Oryctolagus cuniculus: one gene and its partners. The protein of the gene in region 3 binds, or shares a complex with, the protein of the main gene of each other region. Links are inferred from orthologs where the notes say so. Each region holds a gene or a part of one and is shown on either strand. Other genes may lie near its edges.

Region 1 (6,397 bases), on a different chromosome or scaffold from region 3:
CTCTCCTAACAGAAGTTGAAGGTTTGGCCAGATTCGTGATTACCGGCACAAAATTGTGATCATTTGAAATAAGAATTTATACAACTGAGAAGTAAACCTTTCATGCTTTGTGCTTCTGAGCCAGGGAAGGGCTTCTGTGGGGCAAAGAATAAAACCTGCGCTTCAGCTGGTGCAGGGGGACGAGGAGCAGGCCAGGAGCTGCAGCAAGGGGAAGGGAACCGCTCCCTGCATCCTTTGTTTCCAAAGTGCATCCCGGGGAGGCGTCGTGGCGCAGCAGGTTAGGCTGCTGCTTGCAATGTCAGCATTTTGTGGGAGCCCCCGTTGACGTCCAGCTGCTCCACTCCCAGTCCAGTTCCCTGATAATGCACCTAGAAAACTAGCAGAAGAGGCCACACGTCCTTGGGCCCCTGCCACCCACGTGGGAGACGCCAGATGGAGTTCCAGGCTCCTGATTTCAGCCTGGCTTAGCCGCAGCAGTTGTGACCATTTAGGGAATGAAACAGTAGATGGAAGATCTCTCTCCCTCTCCCCCACTCCTTCTCGCTTATCCCTCTGCCTTTCAAATAAAGGAAGAAATCTTGATTTTTTAAAAGTACATCCAGGGGCCAGTGCTGTGGCTGTGGCATAGTGGCTTAAGCTGCCGCCTGCAGCACTGGCATCCCATATGGGCACTGGTTAGAGTCCCGGCTGCTCCACTTCCGATCCAGCTCCCTGCTAATGTGCCTGTGAAAGCAGTGGCAGATGGTCCAAGTGCTTGGACCTCTGCACCCACATGACTGCACCTGTGTGGGAGACCCAGAGGAAGCTCCTGGCTGCTGGCTTCATACTGGCTCAGCTCCAGCCATCCACAGCCATTTGGGGAGTGAACCAGCAGATGGAAAATCTCTCTCTTTCTCTCTGTCCTTCTCTGCCTCTGCCTCTGCCTCTCCTCTGTAGCTCTGCCTTTCAAGTAAAATAAATTTTTTAACCAAGCACATACACCATTTGAATCACAACTCTGGATTACTTTATACACATTTAGTTCCAAGATGTTGAGCTTCATTTCCTTGGGTCAGGACTATGGAAAGTTAGGCAGACAGAGAATATGCAACAGAATATTCTGTACCCTGGGCCTTGAGCAGTGGGTAGCCCCCTGCAGTAAATTCATGTGATAAAGCAAGTTCTTGTATATCAAATGGAACATTAATTAAACTGTTTTGTCCCCTCTCTGCTCCCATCACCATTGAAAAAGAAACTACTTAGGAGAAACCTACAGAATGAGGAAGAACAGTGATACTGTGTTACATAAAAATTTTTCGGCGCAAGAAAGTGTGCACAGAACCAGGAACTGCTGTTGGCTCACCTGGCTGCTGTCTAAAACTTGCTGGCATAGCAGGTGCACACGGGAGACTGTGTCTTAGCGATTCTGTTAGTAAAATTCGCCTAGTCCCTTTGTAGGGGAATGAGCCCCAGCTGTCTAGTGGCTGCAGGGACCTGGGTCCCCCCTTCTCATCATTGTCGCCCCAAAAGATTGATACTGAACACTCCGGAGCTTTCTGCAGACGCTGTAGCTGGTGCACACAGGGTCAAGATCAAAGCCTCAGCACAGTCTTAGGTTTGGAAAGTGCAAGTTCCCAAACCTTTACAGTTCCTAATGTTACAGGATTTACTTGTACTTTTGCTTTTTAAATGCAAATAGACCTGGCATTTGAATTTTAATGGAAAATTTCATTTTACTTTAGGAAAGTTTGTCTAAAGCAAAATTTGTTCTTTCTAAAGGGATATATTTGTCTCAGTATGTATTCAGCTCCCAGCAGTCGCCCATCCCCCAACACCTAAGGAAGTTATATTCTCCTTCTCATTCCTTTCCCTCTATTTCCATTCTTCTGTCCCTAAGCGTTGCTTCTTCAGCTGGTGTTTAAAGATAAAAGCAAAGCACTCAGGTCCTTAGAAAGACCAGAGAAGGCCAAGTCTGACGTCTGACTTGAGCTGCCTCTCCTGGGTCTGGAGCAAGTGTGGGGCGAAGGCCGTGGCCTGTGCACATGGGAGTGTGTCTGGGCGAGGCCTCTGGCGTCAGCTGTTGTAGCTCATTATCCAGACCACTCTGCCCTCAGTACACACTCTGATCTGTGACCCAGAGAACGTGTGGGCCCAAGGTGAGGCAGGATGTGGAGAGGGGAATGCTAATCGCATGATGGTAAAACAGGAAGAAGAACTTGGGTTTATTAAGTCTTCCCATGTACCAGGCTGTGTGCCAAATTCCAGACACACATTATAAAGTCTCGTCTCCCAGCAGCACTGAGCTGTGTTATGCATTTTTTTTGACAGATGCAGAAACATGGCCTTATGTTAAGAAGCTTGTTCAAGTTCACACAAACAGTAGGAGCTGGAGCAAGAGTGCACACCCACGTCAGCATGTTTGAGAGGCCTTGCTCTCGGACCGCTCTGGCGTGTTGCAAGTGGCCTTTATCTGTGGGCGAGGATGGGGTGTGTGGCTGTGCAGATAGGCACAATCCACCCTCTCCACTGCAGTGGGCTGCGCCTTACACTTCATGTTGCAGAAGGGGGAGTGAGAGCCAAGCCATGGCTCGGGGACTGCAAGCCGACTCCAGTCCAGCAGATACCACTGCCTTACTGTGCACACATGCGGTGCATGATGTAACCCCTGAATTTTTGTGGTCTATGTAAAATAAAGGTTCAGTTACCCTTGTAGATGGGAGAAGCCAGATGCAAATACCCCTGTAGATCCAATACCTAGGGAGCATTTTGGTCACAGTCTACCATCTTTAGATGTGACTTACTTGGGATCGACTTACTTTCCTAAATCTGTTCACTGGTTATGCCAGAATAGCAATGAGTTGGCATGACTCGGGAGCAAAGATCAAAGTGGGTTATCCATAGGGGACAAGTAGACAGTTAATGTTAAAGGAGAACGTCTTAAATTCATTTAGAGCATAACCTCAGACATGCTGACGCCTCTTCTTCATTCCCTCTGAATTCTTCTAGAATGTATGCTATCAGGAGGATACGAGATGCCTTCAGAGAAAATAAAAATGTAAAGGATCCTGTAGAAATCCAAGCCCTAGTGAATAAAGCCAAAAGAGACCTGGGAATCATTCGTCGACAGGTAAGACGGCTCCGCGACGCTCTGGCGTTGTGCAGAGCTCCGGCTCTCGCGTAGCCCCCTTGACTGGGCATCACCGCGTTCGATGTTTACGGTGCACACCGCAGGATCTTCTACTAATACAGACGTAGAAAGACGAACCAACACAAATGCCAGCCCTCCAGACTTGCTGGGGAACGCAGCCTTCTGGCCGAGTTAATGCCGATGCTTTAAGTGTGAGAAACTCCAGTGTGACCTTCCTTACAATCTCAGTCCTTGCAAGCTGTACTGCACATGTATTCGTGGACACACACTGCACGTGTACACACGGGCATATATGGCACACGTCTGTGTGGACGTGTATGAGTCTCTCCTGCCTTCCCTAGTGCTTCTCACCGTGATTCAAGGTAAGCAGAAATGTTGTTCTTGTCTTAGCGCCGCTGCTATGGTTGTTGCCACCGGGAAGGGGTTGTCTACAGGTACAGATGGTGGGAAGCGCAGCTGTGTGGGTGCTGACCCCAGAAAGTGAGCGGGAAGATGTTTGTTTTCTTCTGTGCAGTGCCAAGGGTCACCCTGACTTGTGCCTGCTGCTCTCACTCTCGTTGTGGGTGGCGCCTCGGCAGCACTGTGGTCTCCAGGGTGGTCCGATGTATAGCATTAGAGGGTAAAGCAGCCTCCGCCACCTGGCTTTTTGTTTCATTCTCTCAAAAAATCGCGCTTCTCACTGTTTTCCTTTGACTCAGCAATAACTACCATAACCTTCATTTCCGCTTTATTCATTTGTACTTCTTTCTTTCTGTAAGTTTGTTCATAAAATACGGAGGGGAGGGGCCCTCACGGTCTTCCCAAGTTCTGCTGTAGTATTTTAGAAAGGGAGATTCCAGCTGGGTTCACGTTATGTTAGCTACAGTCTTTCCCTGACCCTTCTTGAGGCTTGACTCTAAACAGATTTAAAAAAAAAAAACCCATGCATGAAACTGCACAGTGCATTTCGTGTCTTGGTTTAAAGTCCGTCCCGGCACCTGTGTGATGGCACGGTCACTGCACAATGACATTTGAGACCCTGACAAGCCTTCCTGAGTTCTCTCATCTGTCCACGATAGCACTTGGCCACATCCAGACAGCCCCGGAAATCATCTTTACCTAACAGCAGGAAAAGATCATACGGTGGTCAGAGAAAGAAACTCACTGGCATTTGCACGTACGTTGCGAATGGTGGATAAATGAGTCACCATTTCTGAGAACTTCAGAACGAGAGTCACCAGTGGTAAGATTTCATGGGATCCTTTGGCAGTGAAATTTAGAAAAAGCAAGCAGCCAGGGACCTTGTTGTGCATAAACTCTGGAAAATTCGATGCTTTGGCACTTTCTCCATGTGGAGCTTCGCAAACAGCTCCAGAACAAGCTGATTTTACTTTGAGTGCAAAGTTGCTCAGACGATAAACTGCTCACAGAAAAGCTGTCCTGTAAATATTCCGTGCCACAGATTTCTTGTGTTGTATCTAATTGTGTCACTCCTTGGTTTGAAGTACTAAAACTTCCCGTTTAAAAACACCATGGCCCTCCTTCAACAGCCCCAGCGACTCCACACTCAAAGCAGACGCAGACATTGGAGCAGTCGGTCCGAGTGCAGGGTGAGGGTGCCCTCCCCAGGACTGCTGGGCGACTGCACCTTCCTGCCCAGGGAAAGCAGGCTGCTGGCTTCCAGGGCCAAAGCCGCCTCAGAACCCTAGCAGAACAGAGAGTGGTCCGTGAGCTCGGAGAGGCCCTCACACAGAAAGCATGGGAGGACTACTTAGCCAGCGATTCTTCACTGCTGGGAAGTCTGTTCACTTCTCTTCACGTCAAGACTCTTGCTGGACCCAAGCACAGTGTTCGCTGTAGACAGAGCCTGAGAGGTGGTGGGCTCCCTGAGCCTTCTCACTGCAAGCTGATGGCGCCTGGCTGTGGACTGAAGGCCCACCAGGAGGAGGGACCTGCCCCCTTGCCTCCCCGTGTGCCCCCTGCAGTCTGTTCTCACACGCCACTGCCAAGCTGAGCTTCTTCAAAAGCCAGAATCGGATCAGGAGACAGCCCTGCTCAGTGCCCTGCGGGGGCCCCTGGCTCGCTGGAGAGCAGAACTAGAGCCCTTGCATCAAGGCCCTCCCTCGTGCTCGTTCCCTCGCTCACATTGGTTCACTCCCTTCTTGCTGGCCCTGGTGTGCACCGCTCTGTTGCCATCTCAGAGCCTTCACACCTCTGCCTGGAGGAGTCCGCAGACTTGCTCCTGGCTCTCAACCCCTTCCCACCCTGGCCGAGGTGTGTGTGACCTGCATTAGTTAACACATGGCACGTATAAATACCTAAAATAACATTATGATTGAACCCCCCCCCATCCACGGGGCACATATTCCAGGACCCCCAGTGCACACCCGGAGCCACTGGATATCACCAACCGCTGCCTATGCTGTGTTTCTTCACATACATCCATATGCAAAGTAAATGCCTTTGCCATCTTAAATATGCACTTATTCTACACTGTGCCTGTAACTTGTGTGGTTTTAGGTATGAAAGCAAGGTAGCTTGCATCCCTTACTCTTCACAACTTCCTGGGTAGAAGAGTCATTCCTACCATAGAGCCTAGCAACCTCAACTTACGATATTTCTAAGTCATAAACGTTCGCCTCTTCACTTAAAGCAAGCACTTTGTAACATCACTTTGGCATATCCAGAGTGGCGGCATCACTCCTGTTGGGTTTGGGGGCCATTACTAGGAGCACATTGCTTGAACATAAGAGCTATGTTACAGTGACAGTCGATCTGATAACTAAGAAGGCTAGTAAATAAGATGGGCTGGGAGCCCATGCAGTCAGAATATGCTGGACCAGAGACGGTTCATGTGCCAGGTGGGACAGGGCAGGATGGTGCGATACCTCATCACGCTACTCAGAATGGTGCACCGTCTGAAACTTGGGAATTGTTTATTTCTGAAGTTTACCAACCACAGTCGATGGCAGGTAACTAAATCCATAGAAAGCAGAACCGCAGATGAGACTACTGTTCGGCTGTCTTTTCCATTGTCTTCCTCCTCCATGAGACAGGAGGGTCATGAAGTCCGGTGTGTCATGGTCAGCACACGCTGGTGGTCACAAGCGTGGGCTTTAGGATCCACCTCACTGACTCAGCCCTTAGCTACAGTCCTTGAACAAGTTACGTAACCTCCGAGTGCCTCGTGTGAGGATCAGCCCTGCTTCGGGGCTTTGTGAGCATCACACAAGATGTATGAGAAGCCCCCAGGATGGGGCCAGACTGCGTGAGTGCTGCTGCTGTTGGGCA
Region 2 (6,988 bases), on a different chromosome or scaffold from region 3:
ACCAAGATTCTGGAATCAAAGCCTGGGGCACAAACTCTGGCTCTGCCACCAACGAGCTGTGACGGGGTGACTTCAGGCGCGCGCAAGCTTCCTCGTCCATGACAGGGGAGTGATGGCTCCCGCTGTGGACCTGAGGGTGTCCTCAAGGTCTAGAAACGACATCCATGGAGGGCTCGGGACACTCCATGCCAGCACACAGCAGCTCCCAGCCGTGAGACCAGCGGGCGCAAAAGGACGCTCACTGCTCTCAGGCAGGCGGGCTGACGTCAGGGCCAAGCGCCCTGCTGGCCGACGCCGCAGGCAGAGACTTACTGGAGCAGTGCAGTTTCACCGGGGGGAGGCAGAGCTCCTTGGCGATGTCTGTGTTTTTGATGGTCAAGGCTTCCTCCACCTGACAGGCACAAGGGAGACGCACAGGTTTAGTGAGGCTGGGTGACGCGAGGGCCCACGAGTAAGAGGCGGGCCAGCGGCCTGAGCACAGGCCGGGCGGGGGACAGCACACACACAGATACACACACACACAGACACATAGACACACACACACATACACACAGACACAGACACAGACACACACAGACATGCACACACAGACACACACAGACAGAAACACACATACACACACAGACACACACAGACACAGACATATACACACACACACAGACATGCACACACAGACACAGACACACACACAGATACACACACATACACACAGACACACACAGACATGCACACACAGACACACAGACATGCACACACAGACACAGACACACACACAGATACACACACTGTTTAGTAACTCAGTTCTCAGGACTCCTGCACTGGGGCTCTCAAGGACAAAGTACACACATCCGCCCTGCCTGGCCAGGGTTGGCCAGGGCGGCCAAGTCCCGGGATTCTGCCAGGAGCAGAATCCGTGAGGAGCCTCTTAGGGGCCTGTGTGAGACAGCAACAGGGGTCGGCCTTTTCTTTTGGTTTTCTTTGCTGGTTTTGCAGGCCCAGGGCCGGGAGCTCTCTGCAGACAACCCCTCTGCCTGCAGGACTGCCCCCTGCTCCCCCTGGGGCAGCCCCGGGCACCAAGTGAGGTGGGCAGGAGCTTGCCTGGGGGAACACAGCCCCAGTGCCTTGGGAACCCTGGTGGTCGGGGGTGGGGGGTGGAATCTCAAGTTAAAGAAAGGCCTGTGCCCGCTTTCGCTCATAGCTCGGAGCCTGCTAATGGCCAGGACCCTGAGCCCAGGGGCCCTGTCTCAGTGCTGAACCTGAGAGTCCCTGCTGACAAATCACATGGGGGCCACGTGAGGCCAGAGCAGGTCAGGTGAGTGCTCCCTTCGCCAACGGAGTTTGCCAGCCGAGGCCGGGCCAGAGGCTGCAGGTGGCACGTGGCCTGGCCAGCACTGCACGACTGCTCCTAAGACTTGGCTCCCTGGCCCGTGTCCCTGCGGGCTGGCTTCCGAGAGGTTGTCAGGGTGACGGGGGCCCTCCCCCCGCTGCGGCCGCTGGGGAAGGGGGCTTTGCAGAGAGGAGGGAGGAGGTGCGCCAGCCCTCCTCACCTCTCCCGGAAGCCTGCGGCAGCCACCGCACCACTGCTCCCGGGGCTGACCCTGCCCTCACCCCCTGTGTTTCCGAGTCCTTACTCCTGCCGCTATGGGGCTTAGGCGGTGGCACCAGCAGGAGGCCCTTCCTCCTTGGGTCCCTGGGGCCGTGCCCTGGAGGTGGTGCTCACAAGGGTTGGCAGCAAAAGCCCAGCTGGCCCAGCCACGCCCTCTGCTTCCTGGCTCAGTGTGAGGCGGCCTCCGAGCACCACTGCCCTGCTCCTGCCGCACCACATGGCTGGCTCCGTGGGGCTGCCCAGCCCTGGACCTGGACCTGCAGACTGGAGGCAAAATCAACCTCTCTTCTCTTCCTAAGTAGCTAGTCCTGGATTTTTTTTTGCCGCAGTGATGTTGACAGCCGATACAGCCCCCAAACACCCAGGGAAAAGTGATCAACAACAAAACATCCACACACCGCCCGACACAGTGTGGAGCAGGCTGGGGTCAACCTTTAGGGAGGGGGGACTGAAATAACACTGTGCGGGTAGCATTTGCGAATGACCTCGTGACGTGTTGTTCCTCTCGGCCACACCTGCCCCTCCGAGAGGCAGGCTGCAGGCGGTGCTGCCAGAGGGCCAAGGAGCCCCAGCCTTACCGTCTTCCCTTTCACCCACTCGGTGGCTAAGGAGCTGGAGGCGATCGCAGAGCCGCAGCCGAAGGTCTTAAACCGGGCGTCCACAATCTTCCCCTTCTCATCCACCTGGATCTGGAGGAAAGAGAGAGGAGGTGACTCCCGGGTCTCCCCCAGAGCTCCGGGCTCGCCGTCCACGCTGCGAGTGAAGGTGCTGGGTACCGGCTGCTTCCGAGACCAGGGATGACGCAGGGGCTGCCGGGGCCAGCGCCCAGGCCTCGCTGCCGCCCCGGCCTGCTCGGGGCTGGGAGGAAGTCGGCCCACCGCTGCTGGGCAGCTGCTGCTCCAGACAGCAGAGGGTTTCCAGTGCGAGTCTCCTGCGGGCACCCACTGCACTGAGGGGCCCCCTCCTGCCCTGTCTCTGTGTTCCTAGGCATGTGAGGTCTCTGGTGGGCTTCCCAGCCCATGAGGAGGGAGGTCCAGGGTACAGCTGCTGTAACCCAAGTGCCAGCGGCTGCCTGCAGGACGCTTCCGATTTGGGCACACGGTTTCCCTTGGATCAGCAAAATTCACAGACCCTTCCAGCTGGCTAACTTGGAGTCTAGGCTGACGCAGCGAGGTGGAACGTGAAGTCAGCTCCCTCCTCCAGAAAAGATCTGCACTGCAGGACAGCAGTAGGAAGGAGTCCCTGCTCAATCCGTTACGACAGGCCTCCTCCCAGAACCAAACGGAACGCGGCGAGAGCGGGGAGCTGCCCGGCCCGTCCGGACCCGTACCTGCAACTTCATGACATCCCCACAAGCGGGGGCCCCCACGAGGCCAGTGCCGACATTTTTGGACGTCTTGTCAAGGGACCCCACGTTTCTGGGGTTTTCATAGTGATCCACAACCTGAAATGAGAAAGTCGGGAAATCGCCACGTTCTCCCCATGACGTCAGCACCCCGCCCCGGGCAGGCGCCCACTGAACACGTCTCCCGTGGGGGAGAGAGAGAGCCTACATTCGCATCAACGAGGGCCCTCTGTGTCACAGGCTCCTCTTCCCCCCAATAAAATCCACTCTCCAAGGAGACGGATCACCATTCAAAACTGTAAAAAACACCACTCATAGCCCAGGGCCACAAGGCTTTCTCGGAAGCCTCCGGGGGGGGGGGGGGGCCGCTGCAGAACGCACAATGCTATCTACCAGAGGTGCTAAAATAATAATAAACAAAACAGCGCCGGGCAATGCCATCACCCGGAGCAGCCGCGCCCCCTAGCGCGAGCCCGCGTCCCTTCTGCACAAAATGTCAACAAAATGCCACCGGAGCCCCGAGCCCACGAAGCAGCCAGCCCCCGCCCCACATCCCACCCGAGGCCTCCCGAGAGAACCACGTCTACTCCAGACTCCGTTCTGAGTTACTGCGTGGTTTTTAGCTGCTTCCCTACAGAGGCAGGCGCACACGTCGGGGTCTTTACGCCCCCGGGGACGCGGCCAGCGGCTGTCAGCCACGGCTCGCTCTCCCTCCCTCGCCAAGAGGCAAAAGCGAACCCCGAGCAGGTGCAGCGACCCCGCCACCGCGACAGCGCGTGCCTAGGACCCCACGCTCACTCTCTCCTGCTGGGGAGCCGCGGGAACAGGGTCGGAGTGCGGCGGCGACTGGCCCAAGGTCACCTGGCCCGGGCAGTGGCCCGAGCCCGCGCCGGGCTGTGTGTGTCCTCGACTCCGAAGGCCAAGCGCACAGGATCCCCGCCCAGGGCCGTGGGCAACGGAGGGGAAGCAACCGGGAGCCGCCTGCTGAGCTGCGTTTATCCATCAGCCGTTCCCGTCACCGCGCAGCGAGGGGAAGTGGGCGGAGGAGCGGGCGCCGATGGCCCCTGCTGCCTCGGCCACTTCCACCTGCCGTGGACGGAAGTGTCGGCTGGGATCCGGGGACGCCTGGGTGCCCTCGGCCGCTCGCGCACCCCTAGGCTCGCCCCTACCTTCTTGTGATAGAGCCGGGCCGGAGCGGACAGCTCCCGGGCGGGCAGGCGCGGGCTCCGCAGCAGCAGGGCCGACGCCGCTCTCCGCAGACGGCCAGCTCCAGCCGCCGCCATCTCTCCGGCGAGCCCCTGAGCCGCCCCAGAGCGACGCCGAGGGGCGGGGCGCGCGCGCGCGTGCGAGTCGGGCTGACGTCAGCGCGCCTGCGCCCGCCCACTCCGTGCGCGCGTCCGCGCTGTGGCCTCGCCTTGGCCACGCCCCTCGGGGGCGGGGCGTGGGAAGCGCGGGAGGGCTTGCTGCGGGGCGTTGGGGTCTGGGTTGGGGTCTGGGGATTCCGCGGCGGCCGGGCTGAGAGGGTGCAAGGCCGCATTCTAGAGGCGGACCCGGTACAACTTTGCAGTGCGCCATTGAGGCTCAGAGTGCTCGCGCGGAGACCTAGGCTCAGTGGGGACAATTGGTGACCCCAGCTCCGGGATCCGCCCCTCCCCGGCTGTGCGCCCTGGGCGGCTGGTGCCAGTTCACCAAGCGTAATCCGTGGTAATTCTAGGACAATTGTTTTAGCCACGCGGCAAATACATATTAAGTGCCGGCGCTAGACAGAGTGGAGGATTTGCACGGAAAGCAAACCCCACCGTTCTGGTCCCTTTACGCTTGGTAATGAGGGAGAAAGGCAGTGAATGAACACACACGCACACACACCAATATTTCCCTACCTCAAAAATGGGACGCTTCTTAAGGAGGAATCAAACACCAATCCCTTATTTTCCAAACAATGTCTAGATTGTATCTCTGTTGAGATCTCCTTACAGAACAGCAAACTCCTAATTTATAGGACAAGGCATGGCAATGAGGAGCCACTAAAGACATGTTTATTCATGGACTCTATTGATGCTGGCTTGCATAAGGCGATGTGATAAAATTGGAAAATTCAAACACTTAACGTCTACCAGGTACGAGGCATTGCATAGAAAGGGAGGCTCTCTTAGGGAAGTGAGTTTGTCCCGTGAATGGTGCAGTCGATCCTTCCCGGAGGATTTGTTTTCTTAGCGTTTGAGCCTCAGTTGCTGGGAGACCGAGCTCCGCTCCGAGTCCGGCTAGGCTTTAAGAAAACATTTATTTACAGGAATCCTTTGACCTTCTCAAGATGGCGCCAAGCCCGTCACTGCAGACACCACGCTCACTCCACGACTTCCTCTATGGCCGCCACTTCCTGTCCAAAGACCCAACTTCTGTCCGGAGTTGTGCCGGAAGACCTGTCATATTAAGGAGCCTTTTCTTCGCCGGAGGTTTCTGAAAGTATATTAAAATAATACGAACTGCGTACTTTTGTCTGTTTTCTTGTCCTCTGAGGCTCCCAGTTTCCCTTTCGGTGGCAAGAAAGCGGGGGTTTTGGTCAGGCGCGCGCCGCGGGCAGCCTCGCCCTCAGCCGGGTCTTCGGCGGCCGAGGGAAGACCCGGGAGTCCCTGAAGCGCAAGATGGCGACGGCGGCTGCATCTTCGGCTTCGGAACCCGAGGCCGAGCCCCAGGCCGGGCCCCAGGCCGAGGGAGAGGAGGATGAGGTCAAGGCGGCCAGGACGAGGAGGAAGGTGTTGTCGCGGGCTGTGGCCGCTGCGACGTCCAAGACCATGGGGCCAGGGTGGGACCAGCCGCAAGAGGAAGGCATGAGCGAGAGCGATGGGGATGAGGAGTACGCCATGGCCTCCTCGGCGGAGAGCTCCCCCGGGGAGTACGAATGGGAGTACGACGAAGAGGACGAGAAGAACCAGCTGGAGATCGAGCGGCTGGAGGAGCAGGTGGGCCCTCGCTCCGGGGCCCCGGCCCGCCCCGCGGTCGCGAAAGCCGGCAGGCCGCCGGGCATCCCCGCAGCTGCGGTCCTGGATCGCCGCCTGCGGCCCTGGTGCTTCGCAGGCGTTGCCCGGTGGAGGCTCGGTGACGGGAGCGGTGCTAGCGCCGCTTCACGCCGGAGGCCGAGGACGGGTCGGGCCGCCGGTACTTTGAGCCGCTCGGAACCGCCCGGGTAAAGTTGGGTCTTGTTAGGATGGAGTCCTTTTCCTGTGGGCATGGTAACGGGGGTCCAGCGCAGCGGGGGAGGGAAGATAGCGGTTGAGACGGTGGTCGCGGGCGCGGAAAGGGGGACAGAGGTTTGCCCCGCTTTTGGTAGCTTGGGCGGAGTGCTTAACGCCCCTGGCCCGGGCTGCCCCGTCTGCCGGTTGGGAAACGTTGTGTCCAGCCCCGAGGGGGTGTAGGGAGTGACCGGTCCCGTCGATGGTTGTGTGCAAAGAGCTCCCGAGATGTGCTGAGAGCTTCGGTCGTTGGTGCACGCTCAGTGTCACAGCAGAGGTTGGGATGGGGGAAGCGGTACGCTAACCTTTCCCCTCCCTCCGAGCTTCTGCTGGGGCGTCCTGCTGGGCAAACCCCCACTGGGCGCCCGGTGCTGGGGGGCCCGGGGCAGGGTGGGGAGCGTGGGGCGCCAGCGAGGCGGGAAGAAGCCGAGGCTTTGCTCCAAGTCGCTCAGAGTGGGGTTTGGACCCTGGCCGGCTCGGGGGTGTGAGGCTGCTCACCCAGGTTCTCACTCAGCCCCGCCCGGGGTCGCTTGGTTGGGATGCCTCCCTAGCACTGATGTTTTTTTTAAGCCCTGGATAGCAGTGCGATCCGTGCCCGGGAGCTGTTCCCAGAGGAACCAGTGGCTCCATTTCTGGTCAGTAGAAACGGCCACTGGTTTTGGTATGCGGAAGCGCAGGTGTCTGATGCAGCGAATACAGGGCGACCCGGGCGCCGCGCGGGCTGTGTTCCCGCCCTCCGACTGCTGGCCCTGGTGCTTGACTGCACTCCTCCACGAGCTGGGGCGGCGGGGCCCCCTGTTTTAGCAG
Region 3 (6,867 bases):
TAAGCTGTTCATGTTAATTCCTTACGTACTTCGCAATGTACCTTTTAAGGTAGTGTATTGAAAACTGGCAAGTTTACTGGAAAGGCAACAAATATGCCATTCATTCGTTGTGGTCTGACCAATATTTGTCAAATAAATGTTTGACTATTTATAAATGCAAAATGGCTTATGTTCAGACTGGTTTCCCAACTTGATTTATCTGCATTATTACTATTTAAGGGCTCTTCAAAAAGTTAAGGGAAGTGTTTTCAGAAACATTGCATGGAAATTTTCATGACATTCAATTAACACACTATGTCCCATTGACCTGTCATAGCATCCCATTAAGACAAATTGAGCAATAAATGTACTGCTAGACTATATTGTTTTTTTTGACAGTGGCTTCACTCTTTCAATATGTCTATTTTTAGAATTATTCCCTGGTCTTGCTTTAATATGTCTACCTGGTTATAATTCCTGGTAATTGAGTCAGGTAGTAAAGGGCAGAGATGACATTCATTAGTGTTTAATTTTATCTGTTAAAGGTTGGCCAAAATTGGCTCATCACCAGATGAATGAAATTTGGGGGTGCTTAGTGAAATCCTTTCTGCTAGTTGCTATAGGTATTTGCAAAGTGTCATTATACCCCCAAAACCCAACTTTTTAAATCTTAAATACTGCAAGAGCAGGGCAGGTTAGAAAATCCAGCAGACTTGTGGCCCTGGCATGTACACCTGTCTCATTACTACAGAGCAGCCATCATGCAAAGTATAATTTTTTGTAATCTGTCATTGATGGCAGAGGAGAAAATAATTTAGGATTTCGGTGCTGTGTACACGTATCTTGGGATGCCTGAATGCACTGTGGGCGTACACTGGCTCAAGTAGGTGGGCCCTTCTGTTCTGGGAGATGAAGATTCAGTTTGTGGCTTCAGCTTGTCTACTGTTGGTTTGTGGTCATTAGAGTGAACACATGGATGGGTGATGTGTATCTAATTTTTAAGAAAACGAGTTTTGCCAGTAGGCAAGCTCGAAAAGTAGTTTATGTTTGGAATGTTTTATAATGGTTATTTTCTCTGATAATGGGTAACAGCTGTATTTTAGAATGAACATTACATCACAAAATGTTTGCAGCATGTGATTTTGAGGAACACAGACTTAACATTTTTCACTTTCAAAATAGCACCAATCCTACAGAGTTGAATTGTGTGAATAGGATCAGTGGAAGGGGCTGGGTATCCTAGAAATTCCAAAGTTTGGATTAATAGAATCAGGTTTCAAGAAAGACACAAACTCTGCTTTATCATATCACCCTGCCTCTTCAGTTAACAAGATCTTTATGCTGGATAATGGGCAGATCGAATAGCAAAATAATGCCTCTAAGATACAGGCTAGTCAAAGATGATTTTATTGTACACACGCTGGGACTGATGGGAAGTGTAGCTGTAGTGGGGAGCCATTGCCCTGGTTAGCAACGGATCCCCATTCCAATGGCCATGAATGTGCCAAACGTGCCGCCACTCTGCATCATGGTTTTCCCAATGCCGCCCATCAGCTCGCGACCCCGCATTCCGATCCTGAGGAGGAAACCAGGATGGGGACATTTGGGAACAAAAATTTTTGACCATTTGTTCGTTTCCACTCTGGTAATATATTGAGCCCTGTTAAAATCTAGACATCTCTATCTTAAATCCGATCTCTTTCCATCTAGGGTAATAAGAAGAAAGATCCATTAGTGTCTACAGGACATTCTTAGGGCCAACTGCCTGTAGTTTACTGGTGGCAGCAGACATGGGGTGAAGTACATGTGCTGATTTTGACTTCAGGCTCTATATGATCCAATAACGACACCTATCTTTAGACACCGTTTTCTGGTATTAGATTTGAGTGAGACCCAGGTTGGAGACTGTTCTGCAAATTCACAGGCTGTATTAGTATTACATTTGCCGGAATGTTTTGACAACTACAGTAGTTTAGCACCAGTAAATCCTCAGTAAACGATAGTTCGTAATGTAGGAAAATGGGAATAACTTTTTCAAGTGGTAAAGTGACTTTCAAGTATGGAGTATATCTGCTTCATCTGTACATCGTTTTCAAAGACAGTAGAGCCGCTTAGCAAGTTTCATTTTGCCCACTCAGAACAGCAGTAGCAACCATTTACTGAGTACTTAATTAATACGTGCCAGATGCTGTGCTTGATTTCTGCCTCTCCCTGAGCTGGTGTTACCGACCTCACCCTACACTTGAAGAGACTCAAGTCTCCAATTTGTCTTAAGTCACCAAACCAGCAGCCGAACGACTCTGGAGCTCAGATTCTTAGGCTCGGACGCCTTGAACCCGAGTCTCCTGGCTGCACGCGGTCAGGACAGCTGGGAACTGGAACGAAGGACGCGCCACTGGGGCTGCGAGCCGGGCGGGTTCCGCGGCGCCGCCCGGAGATTTCCGCTGCGCTCCTCACCTGAGACAGGAGAAGGTGCCGAAAAGCGCCCCGGCCGCCATGCCCACGGCGCAGCCCATCACAAAGCCCATCTTCACACGATCGAAGCAGCTTGGCTGCGATTGTCCGTAGGGACCCACGGCCACCGGCATCTGCGGAATGCGAGAGAGGAAAGTGCGGGCCTAGCCGCCAGCCCGGGAGTCGGGCAGGGCGGGGAGCGGGCCCAGGGGTTCGGGGAAGTCAAAGGAGGGGAATCAGCGCGCTGCCCGCCTCCACCACCATCTTCGCGTTCGGGCTCCCGCGTCGCGCGGTCGCGGGGCTCACACGGCCCCTCCTCACCTCGCTCGCGGCCTCGGTCGCTCAGCAGTACGTCTCACACGGGAAGCAGGGCGGGGCGCGCGCGTGGCCCGAGGAATCGCTTCCGGTGCGCGAGGCAGCACTTCCGGGAGCCTGGGGCCGAAGTCGGCCGCCGCTCCAGGTGGTGGGCTCGGCCGCCGCGACCATGCTGCTGCGATCCGCCTGGCGGCGGGCGGCCTCGGCGGTGACCGCGGCCCGAGGGGCGAGGCCTGCGGTGCCCACCCGGGAGCTGCGCCTGCGCGGTACGCTCCTGGGCTCTTCGCTGCCACTCTCCCTGGAGGCGCGCGTCTTTGCCCCTGGGCGCCACTACGCACTTGGATATTCTGGAACCTCCTTGTCCGGCCCGGCTGCCTTAGAGCCTCTGCCCTTTGCCGTCCGCCGCGCTCAGTCTGTCTGCGCAGCAGACCTGGACAGCCTACGAGGCTCGTCCTTCGGACCGCCCCAGCCGTCTTTTGGAGACGCGGTCCGCGGCTTCTTCCCAGCCCGCTACCTCACCTGCTCTGTCTCCGCATTCCTTCTACGGGGCTTTACCCTTGAGAGTTCTTCTCACTCCCAACCAGGGAATTTAAATATCGCCCCAGCATCTTCCTCCAAGAACCGGCTCCCGCCTTACCCCTTACCACCTTTCAGAGGGTCCCGAGCTTCTCTGATGCTGTGTTCCTTCCCTTCCCGTTTGACCCCGGCATCGCTCGAATTTACCACCGCCTTCATCCCGCTTTCACCTCCCGCCCTGACGGCAGCCCGGCGTCCTCCGCCGCAGGCTCTCACTTGGCCGCTCCGTTCCTTCTGTTTTTCTGACAGTGGCGGACCATGCTCCCTCAGGCACAGCCGCTGCTCCGGAGGTGGAGGCAGTGCTGCGACCTCTCTATATGGATGTGCAAGCTACAACTCCTCTGGTAAGAAGGGAGCGGCAGCTTTCCCCAGGGCTGTCCACAGGAAGTGAGCAGTGGAAGTGACAGTGCCCAGAAATCGCTGGATTCTTGTAGACGTGAGAGCCCTTTGAGATGTGCCGGCAAGTGCCTCCAGCCGGGACTCAGGAGGCTTAAACCGCAGTCCACGAGAAGTGGCTCTGCCGTTGGATTTAGGCAGGCAGGGCAGGCACGATGGAAGTGGTTACAGTAAGCATGGGCTCTTGAAGTTAGCAGGAGTACCATCTCATAGCTAGGTGAAATTGGGCTGGTATCAAATCGGTTAAAAGACACAAAGCAGCCCAGCATATGGTCAGCACTCGAGAGTTAATGAAAATTTTCATCTCTGTGTGACAAGGGGCGTTTGCCTGGGCTCTGTCGTGTCCCAGCCCCTCAGAGGTCACATTTTCTGGCAGGAATGGAAAAACTTGCAGCAACAGCCATCAGCCCTCAGAACAAGGAAGTGTTTGTAGACCATGGAGGAGATGATAGAGAAAGGGCATGGTAGGACCCCTTGGGAGATGGGAGTATATTATGGTCGTATTTGGTTAGTATCTGAGGAGGTGGAAGAATGTGAGAAACCCCAGGCAGGCAGTGTCTGACTGGTCAGGAGTGTGTGGGCAGGGTATGTAGGAGTGGGAAAGAAGGCCCTGAGGTGACAACGGATTCTATTCTGCTGTGCCCAGGACCCGCGGGTACTTGATGCCATGCTTCCTTATCTGGTCAACTACTATGGGAACCCACACTCCCGGACACACGCTTATGGCTGGGAGAGTGAGGCAGCCGTGGAACGCGCTCGCCAGGTTAGTTCACAGGTGTCTGGGAGGTTCTGAGGACAGAGGGCTAGTGGCCTGTGGGAGGCATTTCCTTCTTGGTAGAAGTGGGTGGAAATGGTTTCAGGTTCTTTCTGGAAGAGATACAGACAGCACCTTGGTGTCTGACTGCAGGCATTTGATTACTTCCCACAATTCCTAGTTAAAAGGCCTTGGGCAAGTTACCTCATTTCTCTGAACCTCAGTTTCTCAAATATGAAATGGAGACTGCAATAATTCCTGTTCCCTGGGGTTGCTGAGCTGGTTAAATGAGACCGTACTGGTAAAGTGTTGATGAACACAATACTTGTACATAGTGAGAGCTCAATAAGTGCATTTGAAAGACCACACAGAATAGTATTATTGGGGGCTGGTAAAAAGCCTGGGATATGGGCTGTCACTGACCCTAGGACGCAGAGCGCTTCTTCCTGGTCCACTGGTAGATTTCTGTGGAGCTCTCTCCTCCAGAGCTCTGGCCCAGCCGTGTCTGGAGTCGCTTGCCTAGACCGATGTCCCCATAGTGTGGGAACTGATGTTATGCATCTGTTTCTTCGCTTGCAGCAAGTAGCATCTCTCATTGGAGCTGATCCTCGCGAGATCATTTTCACTAGTGGTGCTACTGAGTCTAACAACATAGCAGTTAAGGTAAGAGAAGCAGATCTGCGTCTTCCTGACTCGAGAGAGAAGTATTTCTCCATCATTTAGGCTCAGACATATATTTCACAACTACCTACCCCTCATTATTGTGACGAGAAAACACTCCTGGTTTGCTTTTCCTTCAGTCCTCTGCAGTCTACTCTGTTTTAAGTCTTTGTCTATTGGCCTGAGTTCAGTGAGGCAGTTGGTAGGAGAGGCTGTGGTTCTCAGGCCATTAACCACTTGGTTTCTTGGGTGGCAGCTACTTCAGAAAGTTGATAATGACGACTGAACTCTCTGCCTCATTCTTGTGATCTGGTAACAAGGAAGTCCCGAATCACTTGTACTTAGGCATGTTTCTCCTTCATGCTATAGCTTCACCCTTTTATATATTGGGGCTGTTCTCATTGTAGCAGTCTCATTTCTTTCTTTTTTAAAAATTTATTTATTTATTTATTTGAAAGGCAGAGTTACAGAGAGAGGAAGAAACAGAGAGAGATCTTTCTTATCCACTGGTTCACTCCCCAAGTGGCCACAGTGGCCAGGGCTGGGCCAAACAGAAGCCAAGAGCCTGGGACTCCATCTAGGTCTCCCATGTGTGTGGCAGGAACCCAAGAACTTGGGCCATCTTCAGCTGCTTTCTCAGGTGCATCAGCAGGGAGCTAGATTGAAAGTGGGGCAGCTGGGACTCAAACCATTGCTCGAATGGGATGCCTGTGCCGCAGGCAGTGGCATAACTCACTGTGCCATAATGTAGCTCCTCCCTTTTCCTTCCAGTCAAATCTGTTTGTGACAAGTTGCTTACTCCTTTTAATTTTTTACTTTTTAAAAAAAATTAATTTATTTATTTGAAAGGTAGAGTTAGAGAGAGAGAGATCTTCCATCCACTGGTTCACTCCCCAAATGGCCACAATGGCCAGGACTGGGTCAGGCCAAAGCTAGGAACCTGGATTATTGCCAGGTTTCCCACCTGGGTGGCAAGGGCTCAAGTACTTGGGCCGTCTTTTGCTGCTTTTCTCAGGCCATTAGCAGGGAGCTGAATTGAGAGAGTGGAGCAGCTGGGACACAAACTGGCACTCATATATGGTGCGGACGTCACAGGCTGTGACTCAACTCACTACACCGCAACACTGACCCCTCCTTTTTCTTTAGATAGCTCCATTTCTCCATGTTGTTGTTGTTGTTGTGAAGTTTTTTTTTTTTAAGTTTTTATTTAATGAATGTGTTTTTCATAGTTACAACTCTAGGAATATATTGGTTCTTTCCCCCGTACCAACCCTCCCACCCTGACTCCCATCCCACATCCTTCTCCCTCTCCCATCCCCTTCTGCTTTATGGTTCATTTTATATAGAGAGGACCAACTCCATATTAAGCACTGATTTCAACAGTTTGTGCCCACACACACACACACAACATATAAAGCACAGTTTGAGAACAAGATTTGTAGTTAATTTTCATAGTACAGTTCATTAAGGACAGGGGTCCTACATGGGGAGTAAGTGCACAGTGACTTCTGTTGTTCCTTTAGCAATTAACACTCTTGTTTATGATGTCAGTGATCACCCAAGGCTCTTGCCATGGGATGCCAAATCTATGGAAGCTTTTTAGCACATAGAGTCCATCAGTATTTGGACATGGCCATAAGCAAAATGGATGTTCTCTTTGTTTTATTTATTTCTTTCTTTATTTTGACAGGCAGAGTTAGACAGTGAGTATTTATTTATTCGAAAGTCAGAGT

The links.
Region 1: the proteins of NFS1 (region 3) and LYRM4 are in contact, whole or in part, in a crystal structure (PDB 6W1D), measured with the Homo sapiens proteins. The link is inferred for Oryctolagus cuniculus from reciprocal best matches to the Homo sapiens genes NFS1 and LYRM4. Residues at the interface, in NP_066923.3 of Homo sapiens: Leu56, Arg57, Pro58, Leu59, Pro68, Leu69, Pro71, Arg72, Leu74, Asp75, Leu78, Glu314, Tyr317, Arg321, Asp372, Arg412, Phe413, Thr414, Thr415, Glu417, Glu418, Tyr421; in NP_065141.3 of Homo sapiens: Phe23, Tyr26, Asn27, Tyr28, Thr30, Tyr31, Arg34, Arg35, Asp38, Val65, Arg68, Gln69, Ile72, Thr78, Asp79, Lys80, Leu81, Ile82, Ile83, Asn85.
Region 2: the proteins of NFS1 (region 3) and ISCU are in contact, whole or in part, in a crystal structure (PDB 6W1D), measured with the Homo sapiens proteins. The link is inferred for Oryctolagus cuniculus from reciprocal best matches to the Homo sapiens genes NFS1 and ISCU. Residues at the interface, in NP_066923.3 of Homo sapiens: Tyr360, Val361, Glu362, Glu364, Ser365, Leu367, Met368, Ala369, Lys371, Glu399, Asp400, His403, Ser404, His429, Arg432, Leu433, Glu435, Met436, Ser437, Pro438, Leu439, Glu441, Met442, Trp454, Thr455; in NP_998760.1 of Homo sapiens: Tyr35, Val40, His42, Tyr43, Glu44, Val49, Gly50, Ser51, Leu63, Val64, Gly65, Ala66, Pro67, Ala68, Cys69, Gly70, Val72, Lys74, Phe90, Lys91, Thr92, Phe93, Gly94, Cys95, Gly96, Ile99, Lys135.

What each region holds. Positions count from the first base shown.
Region 1 is NC_091436.1:165,212,548-165,218,944, forward strand, and holds part of LYRM4 (LYR motif-containing protein 4), read left to right. Parts: intron 1-2,985; coding exon 2,986-3,106; intron 3,107-6,397.
Region 2 is NC_091452.1:17,763,012-17,769,999, reverse strand, and holds the start of ISCU (iron-sulfur cluster assembly enzyme ISCU), read right to left. Parts: upstream 4,325-6,988; 5' UTR 4,235-4,324; coding exon 4,121-4,234; intron 3,051-4,120; coding exon 2,937-3,050; intron 2,296-2,936; coding exon 2,185-2,295; intron 392-2,184; coding exon 313-391; intron 1-312. Other genes in the region: SART3 (squamous cell carcinoma antigen recognized by T-cells 3), read left to right, coding at 5,594-5,911.
Region 3 is NC_091442.1:22,506,633-22,513,499, forward strand, and holds the start of NFS1 (cysteine desulfurase), read left to right. Parts: upstream 1-2,917; coding exon 2,918-3,014; intron 3,015-3,573; coding exon 3,574-3,668; intron 3,669-4,366; coding exon 4,367-4,483; intron 4,484-5,053; coding exon 5,054-5,137; intron 5,138-6,867. Other genes in the region: ROMO1 (reactive oxygen species modulator 1), read right to left, coding at 1,447-1,555, 2,437-2,567.